Linked DNA regions of Lytechinus pictus. The protein of the gene in region 1 purifies or fractionates together with the protein of each later gene. This does not show direct contact. Links are inferred from orthologs where the notes say so. Each region holds a gene or a part of one and is shown on either strand. Other genes may lie near its edges.

Region 1 (10,941 bases):
AAGTGGTGCGCTAGTGCCCTTTGGCAAGGCATTTATCCTTATTACCAGGTCCCTTGGAAAGGACCTTAAGCCGTTGGTCCCCTGGTTGCTTGCTCACAGGCATTCGTGCTTTCTTAGCAGTCAGGTCAAAAACCTCGGTATAACATATTTCATCTCTCTATTATTACACTTTCCCCTGTCCCTCCTACTTACTCACTTTCCAAAATGCTATCCTCGGCCCCCCCCCCCTCCATTGTCCCCTTTTATTTCACCTCTCTGACATTACATTTTTCCCTTACTCCCTCCCTCACATTCATTTACTAAAAAATCTTACCCCCCCCCTGCCTATCCATCGTGACGTACCTATTGTAGAGCCTCCCGATACTTTCTTTCTTGTGGGGTTCCTCCTAAGGAGCTCTATCTCATAGCCTGTAGCTTCCCAAGCAGAGAAACCTTGGACGCTAGAACCTGCAGAGAAGAAATGATGAACAAAGTTCGCTTTGGACACACCCAGGCAGAAATCAAAGCAACAAGCTTTCAAGGAGCTTTTCACAAGTAATGCTCTAGTCTTATCATTGAGGCAGAAGCTGCAGCTCTTGCCTCTGCAGTTATGCTAAAAATATAAGTGATAGGTCTCATGCAGCCAACTTTACCCATTCGCCTTGCTGTAGATGTTGTATTCTTATCATAGAACTATAATTTGCGGCAGTTTTTGTACAAACAAAAGGAGGGCCTCTGGCAGTCTTGCCTACATTATGCCATTGAATATAGCAGCATTGCTGACTTGGAAAACAAGTCATATGAATATATTTATTCACCAAAAACAACTTTCATATGATTTTAAACTGACCCTAAATGACCTTTGACCTTAATGTTACCTGAAACTTGTGCAAAAACGATTAATGATATAAGATTACTCTTATGTCCAAGTTTCATGAAGTAGATCCATAAACTTTCAAATTTATGATGACATTTCAAAGTTAAAGAAATACCCCAACATGGTCTAAGTTCATTGACCCGAAATTGACCTTTGACCTATTTCCTGTGACCTGAAACTGAACTGGCTGCTAATGTGATTCAGGATGACATCCTGGGGTGTTTCACAAAAATACAGCTGTATAGCTAACAATGTTTATATGTACAATGCCATCTTAATAGAAGATTGGCAAGCAACTTATGGCGCAGTCTCATTCACCTATGATGGCCGTACGGCGAGTCTAAAACAGCCGTTTTCATAATTTTTGTACCAGCTTCCTGGGTGTTCTTATGGAAATCCATAAAAAGGCCACTTTCGACTCACCATGAGGACACCGTAGGAGAAATATGACTGTAATATCAAAGACCTCCCAGTTTCTAGGCACTATCACTATCTCACTTAGTTCTATAAAGACTTGCGACTGATGCGATCCAGTAAGCCATGTGGGTATGTAATTTTGATCCCCCCAAACAGTGATTTACTGTGTATACCTACCATGGAACTTTGAGCAATTCAATCTCTCCTCCTGCGATATCTGCTCAAATTCAGAGTCATAGACATAGTCTCCACACGCCACACAGAATACCGTTCCATGAGTCATGTCAACAGCTGTAACAACAGAGGAAAGTGAAATAAGGAAAATGTCTCATCAACTCAAAACAAAGATCATATGTGCATTACAATTTTAAAATAATTTACCCCCCCCCATGATTTTGCAAGTGAAGAAAAAAAAGGAGAAGAAAGAGTATAAAAAGAGAAGACTGGGTAATGTAAATTTATACCTCCCCTATAATCCAACTGAAAAAAAAGAAGTAATTTTTAGATTGTCGACCCCTCCCTATCCTAGCACCATCCCGATTGAAAGCATAATAGTCATTAAGGGGGAAAAGGCTTGTATCTCAAATTATAGGAAAGATCTATGCCACGTTTATGAAAAGACGAGTCCAAAAAGATCCCTTTCAATAGAATTTAAGCAACAACGTTTTTATTTTTAATTCTCATATGTCTTACTCCATACTGCACAGGTATGTTCTTAAAATTCATCAATAAAGTGAGCATATTTTTGCTGGGAATATATTTCTTTCCTTCTAGTTTATAACTAGGCCCCATTTCATAAAGATGTTGTGACAAGCACTTTGCATGTAATAACTTTGCCATTATGGCAAGTATTCTGGAAAGGAAACCCTGATTTTGATTGGCTGCTGAGCCTTGTTGCTATGGCAATTACCATATTCGCAAAGTTACTATAATTGTAAGTTCTTTATGAAAAGGGCCCCAGATGTTGATGGAATCGACACCAGGGGGCCCACTTCAAAAAGAGTTAACTCTCACTCTAAGTTACTATGGTAACTTTGCAATCATGGCAACTACCATGGTAACAGGGCTCAACACCTAATCGCAATCATGGTTTCCATGGGAGTTACAATAAGGACTGAGTTACCATAGTTGTCTTTTTTTAAACAGGGCACCAGATCAAGCAACTACCAATTAGGCCCAACTCATTTTGGCATCTTTCTGATCTCCAGTTTCAAGAGGATCAGGGGCCTCTTTCATAAAGACTTAGAGCTGTGGTAAGTTTGCCATTATTGTAGTTACCATGGAAACCTTGGTTGTGATTGGCTGCTTATTCCTGCTATAATGAAATGTTACAGTTGTTGTAACTCTTCATTAAATGGGCCCCAGAATCCCCCCCCCCTCCCCCACTGTGAATATTTATCATTTTAACTATGCCATAATACAATATGAATATGAATGAGGATTTTCTTTTTAAGAAAACATTTGACCCTTTCTCATTCAAAACTTTCATGCTTATTATGAGTAAGAATCAAGGGATTCCTCATGAAAACCCTCATCATCCATGGTACATTTTAAGAAACATCTTGTCCAAAACTTTTACTAGCAAACTTGCTCTAACCAATCAAATGAAATTATTTCAACGGCTTTAAACAGTCAACCAGTGAAAAATGACTGACAAGTTTCATGAAATGCACCCTGCGAAGTCTTTCACAAAGCAAATAGTTATATAATATTGACTGGCCTTGAGGGGAACATCAAAAATATATTGCCCACAAAAGAATCATATTGGCCCGAGTCTTTAGACGAGGGCAATATGACTCTTTATTATCATCCAAATCAGACATCAAGAATATGGTTCTGTGTGATGTTTAATACCAGGGGCCAGGCTCTGCACTTTACCATTTTGACATACTTGTAATTATAAGATCGCGTCACTAGGGATGCATATCCAGCGCCGGGATCCAGTGTTGTTTTTATTATGACGTATATTTTGCTGCGCGGATCATTATGAAGCATATCTCTTTCTACGCATCCTCGTATGCCCGGATGTGAGACCAGGGAAGATACAAAGGCATATTTTGTGTCGTCTCTGCATGCAAAGTCAATAGGCGCATCGAGACCGAGGAAAATACAAATGATATACCTATGCCTTTCCGATATTCAGAAAATCTAGGGCGATACGGTTTTGTTAAATTACCAGCTCAGATGTCTGATATGAGTGATAATCTGTTATATTCATTGACCAATTGGTTCTAAACCAATCAGATGCAATTATTTTAGTAGCTTTTAAAGTCTTTCAGAGAACAAATAGTCAATCGTTTATTTGTTCTGAGCCAATAAGATTTTAGAAGCTGCAACAGTCATCAGTGAAAATGACTGACAAAAAGATCCATGAAATGCTCGTCCGAACTTGACGACGCCGATGAACCTACCCAGGTGGTGTTTGGTGGACCTAGCATGATCCTGTATATGGCCCATCATATAACAGCCGAAGAACACACAATGTAGGCACGCATGAAGACGTTGGTTATACTGATGACATACGTGACAGCTACCTGCCCGAGCCTGCCCAAAGAAAGAAAACATTGTCAAAGAAAGAAATATTTAGTCAAAGGATTACTTTTTTAGCCTTAGTGACAATAATATTCAGAAAGTGTTCAGTTTCTCTTTTGCCCAGTCAAAATTTGTCATGATTTTAATTGCTCAATACTGGAGTTAGGAAACACCAAAATATTGTTATCAAAATAAAATTTGAATATGTGTGGGCATGTCTCCTTATTATAGATTTGGCATAACTTAGTTGAAGCTTGGAGATACAATTGAAATGTTGAAAAATTATTTTACTTTAATCTAGTCTAATCTAGGCTATATTCATTTGATTTCTTCCACAAGCACAATTTGCGATAAATTAAAAATGAGAAAGAAAAAACACTTTCCTATGTTTAGTATTAATTTGTTTTTATAACTAGCGAGGGCCAAATGCAAGGGAAACATCTGTTCAAACTTAAGTATCTAGAATAGTCCCCTGTTACAACATCATCATTGAATCAAGGGAAAGTGAGCCAAGCAAACAAAGACAAACTAAACAATCACTTTGTCTTCGCCTTCGCACTGCAGTGGCAGTTAATTCACCGACAGTGACACCACTGTCACTGTGTCACTTTCTCCTCAACGACGTGACAAACTGAAAGGACAACAGACATGACATAACAAGAAAGATGCTCACTTTTCTCTTAACATTTTCGACAGAGCTACAAGACACAAAGAAAGCTTGAATAATTCTAAAGGGCTTCGTTCCTTTGCTCTTCTTGAAGGCAGCTACATGCGGGCAGCCCGATAAGCTCATACTTAGCAGCGGCTGCCCGTTGGCTTTGTACCACACTCCACTCCGTATCTCCCTGGTCCAGCGGGGCACGACTCCCCGTGTAAACCCTCTGCTCGCCGGTAAAGAACCCAGTCTAGCTGAAACTTCAATCACTCGATATCCAAAACAGTCGATTCTTCTTTCGCAACGAAGGTCGTCATCATGATCCAAAGTACTTATTTTGATTCACAAATTCTTAAAGATACATAATAGGCTGTTTATCGAGAGAGGTACCGGTACAAGTGTTTTTAAACTCCGATAACGTGTCTATTTTGAAATAGCGTTCCCTTGTTTTCTACGCGATGCTGGAATACGCACAATAAAAGGCGAGTACGAGTTCCCAGCCGGCCAATGCTAGTGACAAATGCAAGCCACAAGTTGTAGAAAATGATTACGGTGTTTAACTATACACTTGAAATATGTATGCATATAACGCCCCGGTAATCTATATAGAGTCATTCCTCTCGGGTCCTGGAAAAGTTGTTTCCAATGCGCAATCGCAGTACCCCAGTCAAAGAAATTGACTTCCGGATTTGGGTCAATAAACCGAAATCATATTTCTCTCTCCCTCTCTATCTTTCATTTTTGTATAATTCCTTCCTCATTGCTGCAGTATGCCAGATTTTAGCACAATTAAGCAGCTTATATCATGATTATGGAAGTGAATGGTTTTCATGGTATGCACATTATCAGCCTCTTCCATTGCCAATCATTGCAATGAATCATGATTTATTTACATGTTTTCTCGTTTTCTTTTCTTGAAAACAGTAAAAGAAAATGAACTTAATAATAACTAGGCCTAATTTGATATTTATTTGATTTATTCTTTTTTCCTGCATTCATAACATTCGTATATAAAACGTTTTTCATTACAGAACAAACATATTGGTTATAGTTTTTGGGCATAAATCATAAACTTATGGACTGAATAAAAAGTCATATGAACAAATATGATCTATACTACCAAATGGTTTCAACATTTACAGTTTGCAGGAGAAGGATTGTCATTATAAGCAGATTGCTTAAAATGACAACCATGGAATAATATTCATTAAATCAATCATAAAACATTTATAAAACAGAAAGGTAATAATAATCATAGGGTTGAATGTCGAACACTTAAAACAACTTTTGCCTATCATTTCACAAATGCATAGCGAGACTATTGCAAGTAGGCTTGATTACTCTAGAACAGGGGCAGATGAATTTTCGAAGGGAGGGGGGCACGAAAAAAATTGACAAGCAAAAAAAAAGGGGGGGGTAACCTAAAATTTTAAGGGGATTTTGTCCACGAAAAAATCATTTGACAAAGAAAAAAGGTCTTCACTTTCTAAAGGGGGCACACTTATGTTTTAAGGGCATTTTTACACTACAAATTTTAATTGTGCCTCTCAAGGGGGGGGGGGGGACGTCCGGCTGTGCCCCCCTGGATCCGCCAGCTAGTGCTCTAGGATCATTCAAAATTCTTGAAAATGTCATAAGCCTTGCCCGGATACTGATGTGCAACAAGTTTGGGCTCAGGTAACGGTTCCGAGGGGGTGCCCCCTAAAAGAAAATGATGTATTTTTTTCTTTTTGAACCGGGCAAAAAAGGTGCCCCGATCGACCGTCAAGGAAAGGGGGTGATTAAAGTGATGGGCTTTCTTTTTTCCCCTTATTGCATTTATTGTTGTGTTTTTAAGTGGGGGTAGCATTGTCATGCAACAACCTCAATGCATTTGGATGAAAGAAACGGTCTATTGATGAAAGCTTTCAAAAGGCAGGCCACAAAAATTAAAATTTGATTTGAACCTAAAAACAGAAAGACATAATTATTCATAAAATCGGATGAAAAATAGGCCCGAAAGTTATAAAAAAAAAGTTTCAATTTTCACAAAACCGTATATAGGCCTATTCAAAGCATGTATGATGTGGTTGATGTCACACACTATCTATATGAAGTATACAGATATTTCATTTTTGCATATTTCCACCCCAACAAAGAGGTGATTTGAATAAAAAGAGAAAATCCAAAGGCAAGAATAACACTGAAAATTTCATTAAAATTGGATGTAAAATAAGAAAGTTATGACATTTTAAAGTTTCGCTTAATTCCACAAAACACTGAGTTATAATTTATGCACATCTTGGTCGGTATGCAAATGAGGAGACTGATGACGTAATCCACTCAATATTTCTTTTGTATTTATTATATGAAATGTTCTATTTTTCTCCTAATTGTCAAGTGAAACAACGATTAACTCCTCTCTGAACATGTGGAATTATTATTGTTTAATGCTGTATGGTTCAGTCAAGTTGGTCCTTATTTCCAAATCTGTAAAAGATGAAATATTGTATAATTCAAACATTAAAAAACAAAAAATCATTTGCATGTCACTGAGTTGTGCATATTACTGTTTTGACGGTGAAAATAAAGCGAAACTTTGAAATGGCATAACTTTCTTATTTTACATCCGATTATGATGACATTTTCAGCGTTATCCTAGTTTGATTTTTCTCTTTTTAGTCAAATCAACATTTTCTGAGGTGTACTCGAGTCAAAGTAGGTCGAAAAAACATGCTCGTGAACCGGAGAGATTACCTGTTTTCTTGTTTCGCATCATAATTATTTAATGAGGCAAATAACATTTCATATTTTTTATTCGACCGTTACAAAGTGAACAGCTATACTGCGTGACGCCATCGGTTCCCTTATTTGCCGGCCGACCATGTGCCAGGATTGTCATATTTTTTTGTGTGTGTGAAAATAAGCGAACTTTAGACTGTTTGTACTTGCCCCCACCCCCTTATATTTACAGGGTATGCCCTTGTTGTTGATTGGTCTGCTGCATGTGCAACCCTTCACTCGAGTTAAGGGTCTGATTGTGCAGCCTATAATGCCTTGTGTACTGAAGGTCCTCTAAACAGCAAATCTTATGTGCTATATTTATAGTCTTTGAGTGGAGAACCACTTTTTGATCAAAGTTTCAATCAGTTTCTGTGCCTGCAGACTAATTTTTGATTGATTTGTCTAATATTGCTCTCTTTATTTGCTCTTCTTTTAATTCTTTTCGTTTCCTCCACTTTTTTTTTCTTTTGAAAAATCATAAGAGAGAGTCACCTCTGCCACCTGTCGGATGTCGTGCTTGCTGCTCCTACCCGCTAGCAGTCAATGAGTGCATTGATCATCAAGTATTATCTAAAGTGTATACTTTTTCACCCTCATCGAATTTATGAAAACTTAAGTTTTTATTATAAAAAATCTCGACAAACAGCCGTGTTTGGCAGGGTTGTTAATCTTACTGCACTGTGTAATATTACATGCATTTGTGTAAAATTACAGAAAATAGATATTTGGTGTATGTAACCTTACACATTTATTTAATTAAACTATTTTCCCCCTTTTTTAAGCAGACCTGTTCTGTAAAATTCTATAAAAATTGTATAAAATCTTCCCTGTTTTAACAATTTACAGAATGATTTGGTGACTACTTTCTGTAAAATCTGTTTTTTAATTTTTCTTCTGTAAAATCTTCTGTTTTTCTAACAGTGTATTTTCTTTTGATTTTGACTTTGATTTTCCTTTTGATTTTGTATTTTCTTTTGATTTTGCATTTTCTTTTGATTTTGTATTTTTATTTTGATATTTATCGACGTGAAGTTGTGAACAAAACAAATTTCCAATATGGATAAATAAAGACGAACTTGAACTTGAAATGAGAAAGATTCAAACTGAAACAGAAAAAAAAATGTTGACATTTTTTAAAAAAAAACTAAGGGTCGCTAAAATTTTCGCAGATGCATGGTTTTACTATAGAGGAACATTCATAATGATATCATGAATTTTCGATAATTCTTGCAACTCTTTGAAATAATAACTTGCATTTTTAAATCCTCAAATACCAGATCGATCAAACTTTTTTCTGTTTATACCGCCTGTTCGTTGAATGAATCAGTAATATGTTTATTGTAGACTAGCGCCATCTAATGTTAATCCGTTGAAAGGACCACTGACTGGCCACCAGTACATGGCGCTCAGGTGTAAAAATACAATAAATGGCAAAGAAGCGAAATTGACCCTTTTGAAATTTTAACATAATATCCAAAGAATGATTTCTTATTTTCTCGTAGTCTTTTCAATTTAATATTTTTCCTTCTTCTTATCTCTGTTTTATTCGTTTATATAGGCCTACCTCGGTCTGAATTTTGAATATTTTTTTTTTCTGAGGGGGCAACAGTCCCAAGCCCCTGCCCCCGAATATTTAGGCCATTTAATACCGAGATGAGGCGAGGTATATGCTTACAGTCGAACTTTGGTCGAATATCAAAATCACCACTTCACAATGAAACAAATGTAACTTTACAAACTATGTCACGATGACCCACCCCCTCCATGCACCGAAGAAAGCAATGGGTTGGCTCGCCGCATCTTAATTCCTAACTGTGTATTTGATTATTATTATTATTATTATCATCATCATCATCACATCATCATCATCATCATCATCATCATCATCATTATTATTATTATTATTATTATTATTATTATTATTATTATTTATTGATTGCATTTATTCTTTTTCATTCCAAAATTTAACAAAAGTTACACTGTATAGCAAAACACAAAAAATATAATATACAGAAATGAAAAAAGGGAACCCATTGGAAAGCAAAGCTTGTTTGTATCGGTTCCCTGCAATAAATAGTTAATTAAAGTACATTATTATTATTATCATCATCATTATTATTGATTGATAGGTATGTTTAATGTACATGTTTTGGCGCTCTGCATGCACGCCAAATTATTATGTCAAAATTTAAAAAATTGACAATATATGTTTAATATAAAATAGTATTTTTTGCAAAGTTGAATGATTTGCAGTGCTTACCAATGCTTTAGAAGAACTTATATTTGCATTGTATGTCATGAAGTTTTGAAGTTGTCAAAATTATTCAAATTCGTCAAAGGAAATGGCCCTGGGAAGCGGCTTTGCTGGGGGTGGGCTGAAGCATCCCCAAAAATTTCCTCGGGGGTACTGCATGTATTATTTTCCATAGGCAGCACGTACCCCCAGGTATTCTGCAAGATGTGTGAAAATTGAAAAAATGTAACCAAAGTGACTTTAATTTTGTATTGAAACTTTATTTTTTTTTTTTTTGGGGGGGGGGGGGTTTTCAAATTTCTTGGACCAATTTTTACCTCCATTTTGTAGTAAAAACCCTTATTTTTGGGGGGACAATTAGCTATCCATTGTGTTGTCAAAACCTTTTTTTTTGCTTTTCAAAGTTACATCAGCACCCCCAGTAAAAAAATCATTCCTAGGGCCCTGTCAAAGGGGGCAAATATGCCCCCCCTCCCTCCCCCAGGATAGATGTCTTTTGTTAGGGTCAGGGTCTTCTAGAACCAATATTATTCAACATTGTTATAAACTGTAAGCGGATAGCCGCTGATCCTCGAATACCGGGGGAAGAACAACAAAGAAGAAGAAGAAGTATTAAAGCAATGCGCTTATGAATTTCACCTATTCTATATATTGGCCGTCACTATATCCCCGAATCCCTCAGTTTCGAAAGCGTTCGTTAAGTTTATTGCTCTTTGTTTTTGGAAAACGCCATCTTCGGTTTCTGCGTACCAGAGTTTTGGAAAACAATAACAGGGACGATTGAGTTGGCAAAGCGGTACAGCTGTGCACCCTAGCGTGGATCTTTGAAGGGTAATCCTCGCGTGTATACGAAGGTTACCCAAAGATCGACAGTTTACCGGTACGGCCTGGTGGTACTGGAAGCAGCGGTGGAGTCGGCGGCCGTGGTGGGAAATGCGAAAATCGATAGCGCTGCCGGAATATGGGAAACTTTGATTTCATTCCACTTTAGCCCTTCAAAGCGACAAGATGGTGCGATTCAGATTGAAGAAAATTCTTCAATACTTGCTTTTTGCATCGGTTGTGGTGCTAGTCTGGCGAGAATTCGAGCGTCTCGACGGCAGCCGTGGATTGAAACCTGGACGTTTTGAACCCGAGGCGAGGAACCAGCCACTTGTTGCCGGGGTAAACGTAGCACCGGATGGCCCTGTACGGCGGTCGGTGGGCGGCCGGGGAGGCGGAGCTGATGATGGTGGTATTCGTGGCGGAGTAGGGGCAAGGGGACGCGAGCCGTTATGGCAGGAAAACAAACAAATAGACTCTGGAATTGTGAGAGCAAAGCAAAGGGATATCGTTTCAGAAGTGGACCCTAAACCTGTTTTACCTGCAAACATAATTCTCCAAAGAAATTCATCAAACCATAAGACTTCTAGTGAGATTTCTTCCAGAATTGACCTTCAAAAAGAAGCTGCAAAACCAAAGATA
Region 2 (11,347 bases), on another chromosome or scaffold:
GCGAGCGCGAAGCGCGAAAGGAAGAAAATCAAGATTTTAGACCTAAAAGCAGGACACTCTATTCATGTTTTGTAAATCATAAATAGGATATAGTTAATTGGGTATCATTAATAATGCGATCATGAAGCGTGAGCAGACAATTGTTGATATTCTGATGTGAAAATGGATGATTTAAGTACATTTTAAATAAAGAACATGCAGGCTATCGCGCATGTTTTAGATTTAGACATAGAATCTGGGCATTCTGAATACATTTATTTAATGGAACTTTATGGAATACACGTAGACAATATGAACTTGGCAAATCAAACAATGTGACCACGCAGCGTGAGCTTAAAATGCTGATATGTAGACCATAAAACGGACACTTTACAGAGCACTTAAATTTGTAAATGAAAAAAAATAATGAAAGCTCGATGTCCGAGCTAAAATATGTTTTGTATATTGACTTCAAAACTTGCTCCAAATCAGCCTATTGAGCAAGATATGAATCTCATCGAACAGGCAATTCTGGCACGGCGCAAGCAAAATTTTATATAGTAACATGAAAGTTTTTTGGGTTTTTTTTTGCAAGTCTTCCCCTCACATTATTTTATTCACTCGTCTTCCTCCTCTTGTTTTCCTCTTCTTTTTTTTTCTTCTGTCTTTCTCCTTCTTTTCCTTTTTTCTTTTCTTCTTTCTCCCTTTTTTTTGCTATGCCAAATTTTTTTTAGGGGGGGCACACCAAATCTCAGGGGGGGGCACATGCCCCCCCAGGCCCCCCCCCCCCCCCCCCCCGGAGCTACGCCACTGAGCCTTTGCACCATTATGAGGGACAGGTTGTGGAAAACAAACAAGAAAATAAACTTTTTTCCCCTTCCTTTTCATTTTCTTCCCATTCATTTCATTTTGCATGAGAAAACAATGACAGAAAGAGGAAATACAGCCCCAATATAAAAACAAAGGAAAAAAGGAAGAAGAAAAGTCATACTCATAATAAGTCACTACAAAAAATAATGCCTAGAAATTTGGAATGGGTATCGTTTGACAGTTTGAGAAAGGGCAAGAAACAACTCTAGAACTCTAACTTGAGAAGTACAAGTCCACCGCAACAAAAGTTGATTTGAATAAAACGAGAAAAACCCAACAAGCATAACACTGAAAATTTCATCAAAATTGGATGAAAAATCAGAAAGTTATGACATTTTAAAGTTTCGCGAAATTTCTCAAAACAATTACTTATATGCACATCCGGTCGGTATGCAAATGAGCAGACTGAAGACATCACCAACTCACTATGAAAAATACTTATTTTATCCTCATTATTATGTGAAGCTAAATTTTATTCCTCCCTGAACAGGTGGAATTACCGTTATTTTAACAGTTAATCGTGAAGTCAAGTTGGACCTTATTGTCAAATCTGTAAAAATTGAAATGTATAAATCAAACAATAAACTTTATAAAGAACAAAAGAAATAGTGAGGGACATCATCGATCCTCTCATTTGCATTCATATCACTGAGTTGTGCATATAACTGTTTTGTGAAAAATAAGCGAAACTTTAAAATTCCAGGCATAACTTTCTTTTTTACATCCGATTTTCATGAAATTTTCATGAAAAACTCGGAAAGAGTTCCTTATGCAGCCCCCACCAAAAATAACAAAAGATTGTTGAGACTTCCGGTTCGTTCACTTCAGATTTTTCTATCATTTTTTTTTACTGTTGCTTACCTTAGATCACCCATGGGTTCATTTCATCTCGCGTGCGAAGGAATATCAAATGCACATGATGCACGCGACACATGCAAAGCTTACATGGGCTTTTGCCCAAATAAAAGATTATTATATTAAAGCTAGAATTTCACATTGTGCTATGACACTTACCGAACCATATGGATCCTTTGGTGACTGCTCTTTGTTGTTTATTTTTTTTAAGAAAAAGGAATTTTTCTTGATCTTCACGTAGATGCCCTTCGATCAGCGACGAAATCAATTTTGGCCTAAAGAGGGTGCGCGATATTATTTATAAGCCGGTTTGTTTACGGTCCTGAAGCTTGTACTGCTAGCTGCATTCTAGGTGCTCAGCATTATTTTCTTGCTCGTTCAATCCACTTTCATCATCATCTTGTCAAAAGATGGCGTACTTCACCTATAAGTAAATACATGAGATGCAACCTGTTGATTTTTTTGTACAATTTCCTATATGCACCGACGACTTGAATCGAGGTTTTAGCTAACCTCGCATGCATGTGTGAGTGACCTTAGTTGGTACTCGAACTCACCTCGTTGTATCTCCAGTCAAGTCTCTTCCCGCAATGCTAGCAAGAAGCGCTGATACCGGAAGGGGTATTTTAACGATTATCAGCCGATAGTTCGACTAGTCTAGACTCACAGACCCTTTACTAACTAAATAAACCGATGTCTATGGACAATTACACGTACTAGATCCTGCTCGAAATTTGACGGAATAAACCCATATTTTGGTATGTATTTCCACTTCCCCATCATATATGTTCTATTTTAGGGCTAGATATATTATTCTAAACCTTATCAATGTTTTCATTTTCAATTTTAGTGGGGGGTGCATATTGGAACTCTTGCCAATTTTTCTCTATCGTCTCGATTCAAATTTAATATCAACAATTTTCTTTGACCCGAAAGCTTGACAGTTGACAGATTTCTAAAAAAAAATAACACTACAAGTCTACATAAGACGAATTCTAGTTTATTTAAACCTTGAAATGTGGAAGTTAGAATTTCGTCCGGGAAGTCGTCACGAACAGATGCCTATCCCTCTGCAACAGTACAAGACTGTTAAGGGAGGCAGCGTAGCAAGGGAGGCAGCGTAGCTCAGTCGGTTAGAGCGCATGTTTCAGATAAGATCGTAGTTCTCAACGTGAGGGGTTCGAGTCCCGCTCATGCCGAAACGCGTCTGACAAAAAATCTGATGCTATAGCGTTCACTCATTCAATGAACAAGGTTATGATATAACCTTGTTCTCAGTTATATCTCCATGTGTGGCAAAATAAGGGTGGCAATGTTTGGCTTATTTTCTCTTTTTTCTTTGGGACAAATGCTTGATTTTTTTACACTGAGTTTCCATTACACCTATTCGTCATACAACTTGGCCCTTGCTTAAGCAGTTAAGTAAATTTGATTCTTTAAATTATTTTTTTCTTAATTAAAAATAGAGATAAAAAATGAAAAATTTCTTGCCATATTACTTTCCACCAATAGAGGGCGTACACAAAAATATGCCAAAAATTCAAGTTTCTTAGCGCTCTAGTGAATACAAAAAATTATTCCCAAGTTACTAATGAAAAATAAATTGCAACTGTATAGAAATTAGTAATTTTGGTCACAAAAGTGATATTTTAATGATTTTTGAAAGTGTGTGCTCTGTACAGCATTGGCATGCCATAGTCCTACTTGTACTATTCCCCACGGGCAGGGTGGTTGCAGTGAACAAGTGATAGCGTTGTGTGTTAGCGTGCCTCACCACTGTATTCAGTGCAGGTGTGAATGCAGTTGGAAAACACTCCGTCCATCGGAAAGGACGCAAATGTTGGTCCCGTGTATAGGAGAAGACAGACTATATCTGATAAAATACAGCAAAGTATCTTGGAGTTGAGCTGCAGAGGAACCTCAGCTGGAATCAACACATAAATGCTGTAACCAAAAAGGCCAACTCCACACGTGCCTTCCTCCAGAGAAATATCCGGCCATGTCCAAGAAAGGTCAAGGAACTGTGCTACAAAGCTCTCCTGCAACCAATCATGGAGTATGCCAGCATAATATGGTACCCTCACACGCAAGCAAATATAAAAAAGCTTAAAATGGTGCAGCGACGCTATGCACGCTCCGTCTGTAATGATCACCGTAGAACAAGCAGTGTAGCAACCTTGCTGAACCAGCTCAAATGGCCAACTTTACAAGAGCGTAGGGCACAGGCCAAGGTGGTGATGATCTACTGTATTACCAACTCACTCATTGACATCCCACCTACCTTCCTCACTCCATCCACATCCATGCATAGAGGTCATTCTCAGAAGATCTTTGTTCCCTTTGCCAGAACACTTGTCTACCAGAGGAGCTTCTTCCCAGATTCGATAAGACTTTGGAACTCCCTCCCCAACAGCACAGTTAATTGTACCTCTCTACACATCTTTAAACAAGAGGTACAAAAGACACAGCTCCGTTAATAACGGTGGTTGTTTTTACTTGCACGCTGTAAGCAATTTTTTATCGGATAATGTACACTTGCACGCTGCACTTCACCAGTACGACAATACACCAGACGGTGGACTGTACTGTTTCCAGAAGAAGAAGAAGAGTCACAACCTATGCACGTTAAAACCAATACACTATTCGTCAAAGAGTAGGGTTGTCTCCCGGTGTATTGCACCTGCCGGTCCCGGCAAAATTCAGGTCAAGTCAATCTTGACTTTCATATGCCATAATAATCAATATAAATATGATTATGGGCATTAACGGAAAGACAAGACAAGACTAGCTGGGCTAGTAGTAGTAGAAAAAGAAAGAAAAGAAAAAGGGGGAAAAATAGCAGAAAAAGGACAAAAATACAAGAAAAGAAACGAAAAAAAATGCATGAAAAAAAATGAAACAAGAAAAGAAAAAGAGAACAAAAGAAAAGAAACGAAAAAAAAAAAAAAAAACAGATTTTTTTTTTTTTTTTAAAGGAATGGAAAAGAAAAAAATAATAATTAGCTATTGAAAATGAACAAAAGCTGTGGCAAAAATAGTCAATCCTGACTGGTTGCCAACGGCCAACCAACAAAGCCAAAGGAAAGAAGTAGCCGAGGCTTACACAAAATTCAATGCACGGGACCGGTATCTAAAAATAGGTTACTTTCAAGCGGTTTTATGAGGTAGGTTAAAAGAGTATTGAAATATAAGCACAAGAAATGTATCACATATTACTCACTAATGATATAATCCCAGATTTCATTGAACCTCGTGGCCTAATAGCGAATAAAATCAGGGGTATTCTGGCACAAAAGTCACCGTACGGACTGTAGTCGTCGGTATAGTAGTGGTCTACGTCTAGCTGCATGTAAAAAATATATTGCGGATTGTAAATACCAAATAATAATAATAAAAAAGGTTGGGGCATAGGTGGATAGATTATTCACCTCTATGACTATGGGGGGGGGGGGGAGGGGGGAGGGGGGGGGGAGCTCGAGTCGAGGATAGAGGTTAGGCATACTGATCCGTATACAGATCGGTGTAGGAAGAATTGGTCGGGGATTGGTATGGACTTTTCAATACCCACAAATTTGTTGTGTAGAAATATTAAATGAGCCTAAAATTTTGAGGGGCCAGATATGGGGGGTGAATTTTACAAGCATCATTGAAGTTCTGAAAAGATGCGAGTAACTTTTTTAAGTACAAAAATCTATTAAATTTTTTTTTGACGTAATATTCAGAAAATGATTTAATATTTCACTATTCCCTTTCATTTCCTTTCATTTTACCTACCTCTTTTCTCTTAATAAGTCATGTTTCAAGGGTGTGCCCAGAAAACTGGTACAGGTCTTACAATTAATGTTGTAAAATAAAACCATAGAGATATACACGCCTCATCGAATATTTGCAATATATAATGTTTAAAACCTCTTGGAATACCAGCTGCTGCCGGGCTAGGGTCAAAATTATATATTATTTGAAGATGTAATATGAAGTCATGCAGGTCATATAAAATAATAAACACTGAACAAAACAAAACAAAAACGCATGACAAAAGTGGAAATAAACAAATCCAACCACTGCATTGTACTTTATAAATTTCATATTTAATAATGACCTCCGACGGTTGAAACTATATTGCCCCCCCCCCCCCCCCGTTTGAACTCTTAATTCCCACAACCGTGACGTTGTTAGGGCCTATATTTTTAAAACAATATTTTAAAGAAATTCAACACAATTCTTATAACTGAATGCGCTTAGTTTTCTGGGGTGTAATTGTTTTCAAGCAATATGCTTATTTAATGAACTCTTGCAAATTGTAAATATAATTAAATTGGGAGTAGATCATTATTGTTTTGAATTACATATTTCTACACGTCGTCTTAATCTATGATTCATGCACAAAATGATAATCATAATGATGCGATTGCAGAATAAAAAGCACTAAAATCAAATCAAATATTTTAGAAAGTTTGGGAAACCGATACAAGAACACTAGCTGATAACAGGTTCATATGATTCCCTGGTTGTTCATAGCTGAGAACATTTTCAGGAAGTTCTGAGCAGTCACACTTATGAAAGACAGCAGACCGATCGACGCTATGTTGCCTTATTTCGAATTCGTATTCCCGATCGCTTTGGAACATGGGTTTGGAGACGGTTTCTTGTGTGACTGTGGCCGGGGGACTGTGTCATATAGGGCATGGGTGGAAATCCCAGGGGGGGGGGGAGGGCAGGGGGACGCGTCCCCCTACCATTTTGGAAAGGGGGGGGGGACATAATATCAAATGCCCCCTACTATTTGTGTTTTTTTATTATGGAAAAAAATACATAATTCAAAATCGAAATTATACACATGTCTCCTCGAATTTCGAAATATATATAAACAGATAGTTGGATAGGAAAAAAAAGGCATACCGGCCCGTTTATTCTCAAACTCGCATCTAGCCCTATATATGCCAGCCAAAGAGTGTTGACATTGATGACATCGATGGCCATTGTCAATTTCATAACTAATAAAAATGACCGAAAAAGAAAATCGCCTCTGGTTACTTAGTAAATTTAGTGAATAGATGCATAGTAGACGAGAATCTTCCATACCCTGTAAAATCATACCTTTGTCATAGGCGGATCCAGCTTTTGGCGAAGGAGGGGGGGGGGGGGGTGCACTGCCGAGCGGCGCACATATTTTTGCACTTCACCGGCGCCATAAAAGAAAATGTTGAAAAAGCGGTAAAGTCTGACCCTGTCAAATGCTCTTTTAAATGCTTTTTTAGGATTTCCAGTCATGCCATTTTGCATGACCACACGCAGATAATATTTCCGGGGGGGGGGGCAAGACTCGAACTTATTAAAAAAAAACACGATAGAGTAAACAGACCGATTTTCATAGTTTTCATGAAATGTTAAGGAAAAAAAATGTGTTTTCACAACAGCTGAGACACTACAACTATAATAGGCCAAACGAGCGCAATATCGGACAAATCAACCGGCAACGTTTAAAGTGTTATTGTTTTTTGTACCAAAGCCAAAAGGTTATTTCGATAGCAATATAAGCATGTGCACTGGATCATGTCGATAGACTATTCTTCCCATTGGCTCCAGTTGACCCTGTTTTTATGATTCTTCATTCTTCCTTTTTATCCCGTTTTCCATTGCTATGCAGTTCATTGGTGTGCATAATAGACTTGGACCACAACAGTCATTAACTCCGGTGTTAATTCTATTTTGGTGTTAGTTCAACACCTATATATGTGTGATTTTACAGCACACTTGTTGTAAATTTTACATTGTCTATTTGGTGCTACGTTCGAGAGTGTAATTTTAACATCAGGGTGTGGTCCTCTCGTAGTCAGTTTTAACACCCCACAGTAACTTTATGCACCTTAACTAGGCTCCGTCTTTCAAATCACTATCTTGATTTCAAGCAATTGATCTCCCGTAATTTAGTGATCGAACTTTAAAGTCGACAACACCATGGATTATTTCGAAACAGCGACACGGATGCTATCTGATGAGGGAATGTTTTCTGAAGACGTTGCCATGGTAACGGGGACGGATAACTGGACGACCACCGGTCAACACCTTCCTCCATCACCGCCTGCTTACATCGCAGCCTTGAAAAAAGCAAATAAGTATACTCTGATCACAATCCTTATCTTCCTCATGCTAGCCATGGGCTGCGTGGTCAAACCAAGCGATTTTAAAGAAGTGGTAAGTTAATTTATTTACATAATTTATTTATCAATTTATCTTTTACTTTTTACCTCCATATCACTTGTATTTAATTCATCGTTTTCACGAGTTACTAGCACGATCCCTCGACTTATAACTCATTTCCACGAGTTTTAAGTTAATGGAACGAGTTATAAGTCAAGGGAACGAGTTATAAAATAGAGAAAACGAGTCATTAGGTCGAGGGAACGAGTTTTGAGTCGATGGAACGAGTTATAAGTCAAGGGAACGAGTTATAAATCAAGGGAACGAGTTATAAAGTAGAGGAAACTAGTCATTAGGTCGAGGGAACGAGTTTTAAGTTGATGGAACGAGTTATATATCAAGGGAACGAGTTATAAAGTAGAGAGAATTAGTCATTATGTCGATGTAACGAGTTTTAAGTCAAGGGAAAGAGTTATAAAGTAGAAGGAACGAGTCATTATATAACATGTCGATGGAACGAGTTTTAAGTCAAGGGAACGATTTATTAAGTAGAGGGAAAGAGTCATTAAGTCAAGGGAACGAGTTATAAGTCAAGGGAACGAGTTATAAAAGTCAAGCAAACTCTTGGGAACGAGTAACGGGGGGGGGGGGGGAAGGGCATATGTCATCGTAAGGTTCCGTACTTAACCTTGTAAACGTTTTGTCTTAAAATTAAATTAAGTCAGTATTGATTAGTGCTCTCTTCGATTAATGTGTGAGCGACACAAATTATAGTATTACATTGATTTTGAATTTTAATTCATTCGGACTAGCAGACAACGTGATCCCCTGTATAATAACATTTAAATTTGAATGGTATAACAACTCTGTTGCTAACTTTATCCACTACTTATATACTATTTCTCCATCTTGCATCTAAGTGAAGGTTACATTTTTCCCTTTACCCAATATTTAAAAGTTTAATCATTTTTATAACAAGTGCATGAATACGCATAAGTCATCATTATCGACAGAACCAATCAACAAAGATTATAAACTATGACAATGCTTATGCATAAACATATTCATTAGTCATTCATACCAATCAATTTAGAACGACCCGAAAAGGTAATGTTTTTCCCCGCTTTTTTATTATTATTTTTTTTGTCCAGTTACGCGTGCCGAAAAGTGTACTGATCGGGATGTTGTGCCAGTTCGTCTTGATGCCTCTGTCTGCTTTCTGCCTTGCTCTCGCCCTGTCCTTACCGGCGCCCATGGCGTTAGGGGTACTCGTCATGTCATGCTGCCCTGGAGGAGCCGTCTCTAACCTCTTCACCTTCTGGACAAAGGGAGATGTATGTCTCAGGTTGGTTTTATTAATCAGGAACGACACCAGGGGAGAGGACAAGACGACCTAGATAGAGGTTGACGTTATATTTTTTTCTCATTTTAATTGTAGAGGCATTGCAGAGTGAGGCGGCCTTAACTTTTTTTGTATACTCTCACCCTTTCTTTCTTCCACATCTCCTTCTCTCTAATCATTTCCCATTTTGTTAGAATCATGTCACCTAGTGGTGCCTACCCTGTTCATAGAGGATAATGATGGTGGTCGAATGTCGTCGAAGAAGAAGAAGAAAAAGAAGAAGAAGAAGAAAAAGGAGGAGAAGAAGAAGAAAAGGGAGAAGAAGAGGAGAAGGAGGAGGAAGAAAAAGTAGCAGTAAGTAGTAGTAGTAGTCAGGGGCCGCGGAAGCGGGGGGGGGGGGCTGTGGGGGCTTCAGCCCCCCTACTTTTTTCCAAAACCATGTACAAAAACGTAAAAATGACCATATGATTGTATTTTTATGCATGGTCAGCCCCCCCACCTTGAAAACCGTTCCGCGGCCCCTGGTAGTAGTAGTAGTAGTAGTAGTAGTACTGTAGTAGTACTAGTAGTACTGTAGTATACAGTAGTAGTAGTAGTAATAATAGTATAGTATCTAGTAGCCTGATAAAAGTTATCGCATCTGTTACTGATAATATTGTTTCTAAGATTATAAGGACCGCTGTGGTCAATAACTATCTATTGAAATATTGAATTCTTTTTAAGATGCGATTAAACGATCAGATGATAATGACTGAATCTTTAATTTCAGCATCACCATGACGACCATCTCGACCGTAGCCGCCATTGGGCTCATGCCTCTGAACCTGTTCATCTACAGTCGAAGATGGACCGATGACAATGCCGTCGTCCCCTTCGTCAGCATCATCACAGCTTTGGTGTCCATTGTGATCCCAGTAACAATTGGGATGATCATCCGATGGAAGAGAATAGAGTGGACATCGTTCATTTCAAAGGTTACTTGAAAGCGGGTCTGCGCTACTGGGGGGGGGGGGGGCGTCCCTTTTATTAAAGTAGAGAGAAAAGGAAGAAACACAGTGAGAAAAAAGAAGAAAGCGAGAAGAGACAGGAAAGGTTGTCTTGCCTCCCTCCTATCATAAACCCTGACGCTGCCCCTAGTTGAAACCAAAGTGGTCATTTAAACTGCGAAACGTTGAATTATAACATCTTTGGTTGAGGAGGTGTGGTATGTATGCACCAAAATGTTCTAGCCATAGTAAACGTTTGTGATCAATCGATGAAAAAAATGCCAGGGGCCAATCAATACCGTCGTAGCATGTGTACGTTTTTCAAAACACTGACCAAGATTAAACCAATAAGAGTGGTTATTTCATAATTGCAATTCATAGCAAGGCATTTTACGTTAATATCCCCTCAAACTCTTTGTCTGATCAGCAAGCATTTCGCGAAGGGAAACTATCCAACAAAGTATTTATCAGACAGTCAACAAACTAGCATCTTATCTTCCCAGCCAATCAAAATCGAGGAAAGTTGTCGGATCTGAAAACTTGTCGGACGAAAATTTTTGATGAAACGCTCTCCTGAAAAACCGAGGAGCGTTTCATAAAAGGACCGACAAAATCTGTTTTATACGAAGCGTTAGCAGAGTAACGTCTCAGCCCATCAAAATCAAAGAAAATTGTTGGCCCTGAAAACGTGTCGGACGGCACATGTTGATGAAACGCAGTGATGCATGGTTAGTCATCATGAAAAGATTATATTCTGTTGGCATTATGATAACGGTCACTCAAGATACCAAGAAAATCGAGTCTTCTATAGTTCCATAGTCTCTTTACCCTGTTCATCCACTTCAAGACTTCACACCCCATGAAGCATTTCATGAAATAATAGTGATGTTCACAAACAATTGTTGTAAGCTACCAAAGTCCTCAGCCTAATCTAATTGACTAAGAGCAAATTTGTCAGCGAAAGTCACTGAATATTGATTCTATGAAACACTCGACCCTGGTTTACGATCATTTTGAGGTCTTGGGACTGCATTCATCTCACAAGAAAATGCTCCTCATCCCCCCTCTCCCAATATTGTCTTATACGCTCTTTAATATTTTGCCATCACTACTTTTAGGTTGGGAGCATCCTAGGCCTCCTGGGAATAGCCACAAGCATCACCCTCACGGCAAT

Evidence for each region. The genes of interacting proteins can lie anywhere in the genome.
Region 2: the proteins of ubiquitin carboxyl-terminal hydrolase 22-like (region 1) and STAGA complex 65 subunit gamma-like purify together in Homo sapiens (affinity purification with mass spectrometry; 3 studies listed by BioGRID and IntAct, with this or other methods). This does not show direct contact. The link is inferred for Lytechinus pictus from reciprocal best matches to the Homo sapiens genes USP22 and SUPT7L.

Annotation. Positions count from the first base shown.
Region 1 is NC_087254.1:10,422,397-10,433,337, reverse strand, and holds the start of ubiquitin carboxyl-terminal hydrolase 22-like, read right to left. Parts: upstream 5,130-10,941; 5' UTR 4,599-5,129; coding exon 4,479-4,598; intron 3,818-4,478; coding exon 3,685-3,817; intron 1,565-3,684; coding exon 1,451-1,564; intron 448-1,450; coding exon 343-447; intron 1-342. Other genes in the region: uncharacterized protein LOC129270144, read left to right, coding at 10,486-10,941. UniProt on the Homo sapiens protein: Deubiquitinase that plays a role in several cellular processes including transcriptional regulation, cell cycle progression or innate immunity.
Region 2 is NC_087249.1:18,376,905-18,388,251, forward strand, and holds the start of STAGA complex 65 subunit gamma-like, read right to left. Parts: upstream 5,068-11,347; 5' UTR 4,925-5,067; intron 2,129-4,924; exon of another isoform or gene 1,864-2,128; intron 1-1,863. Other genes in the region: ileal sodium/bile acid cotransporter-like, read left to right, coding at 7,663-7,899, 8,997-9,190, 9,957-10,161, 11,292-11,347.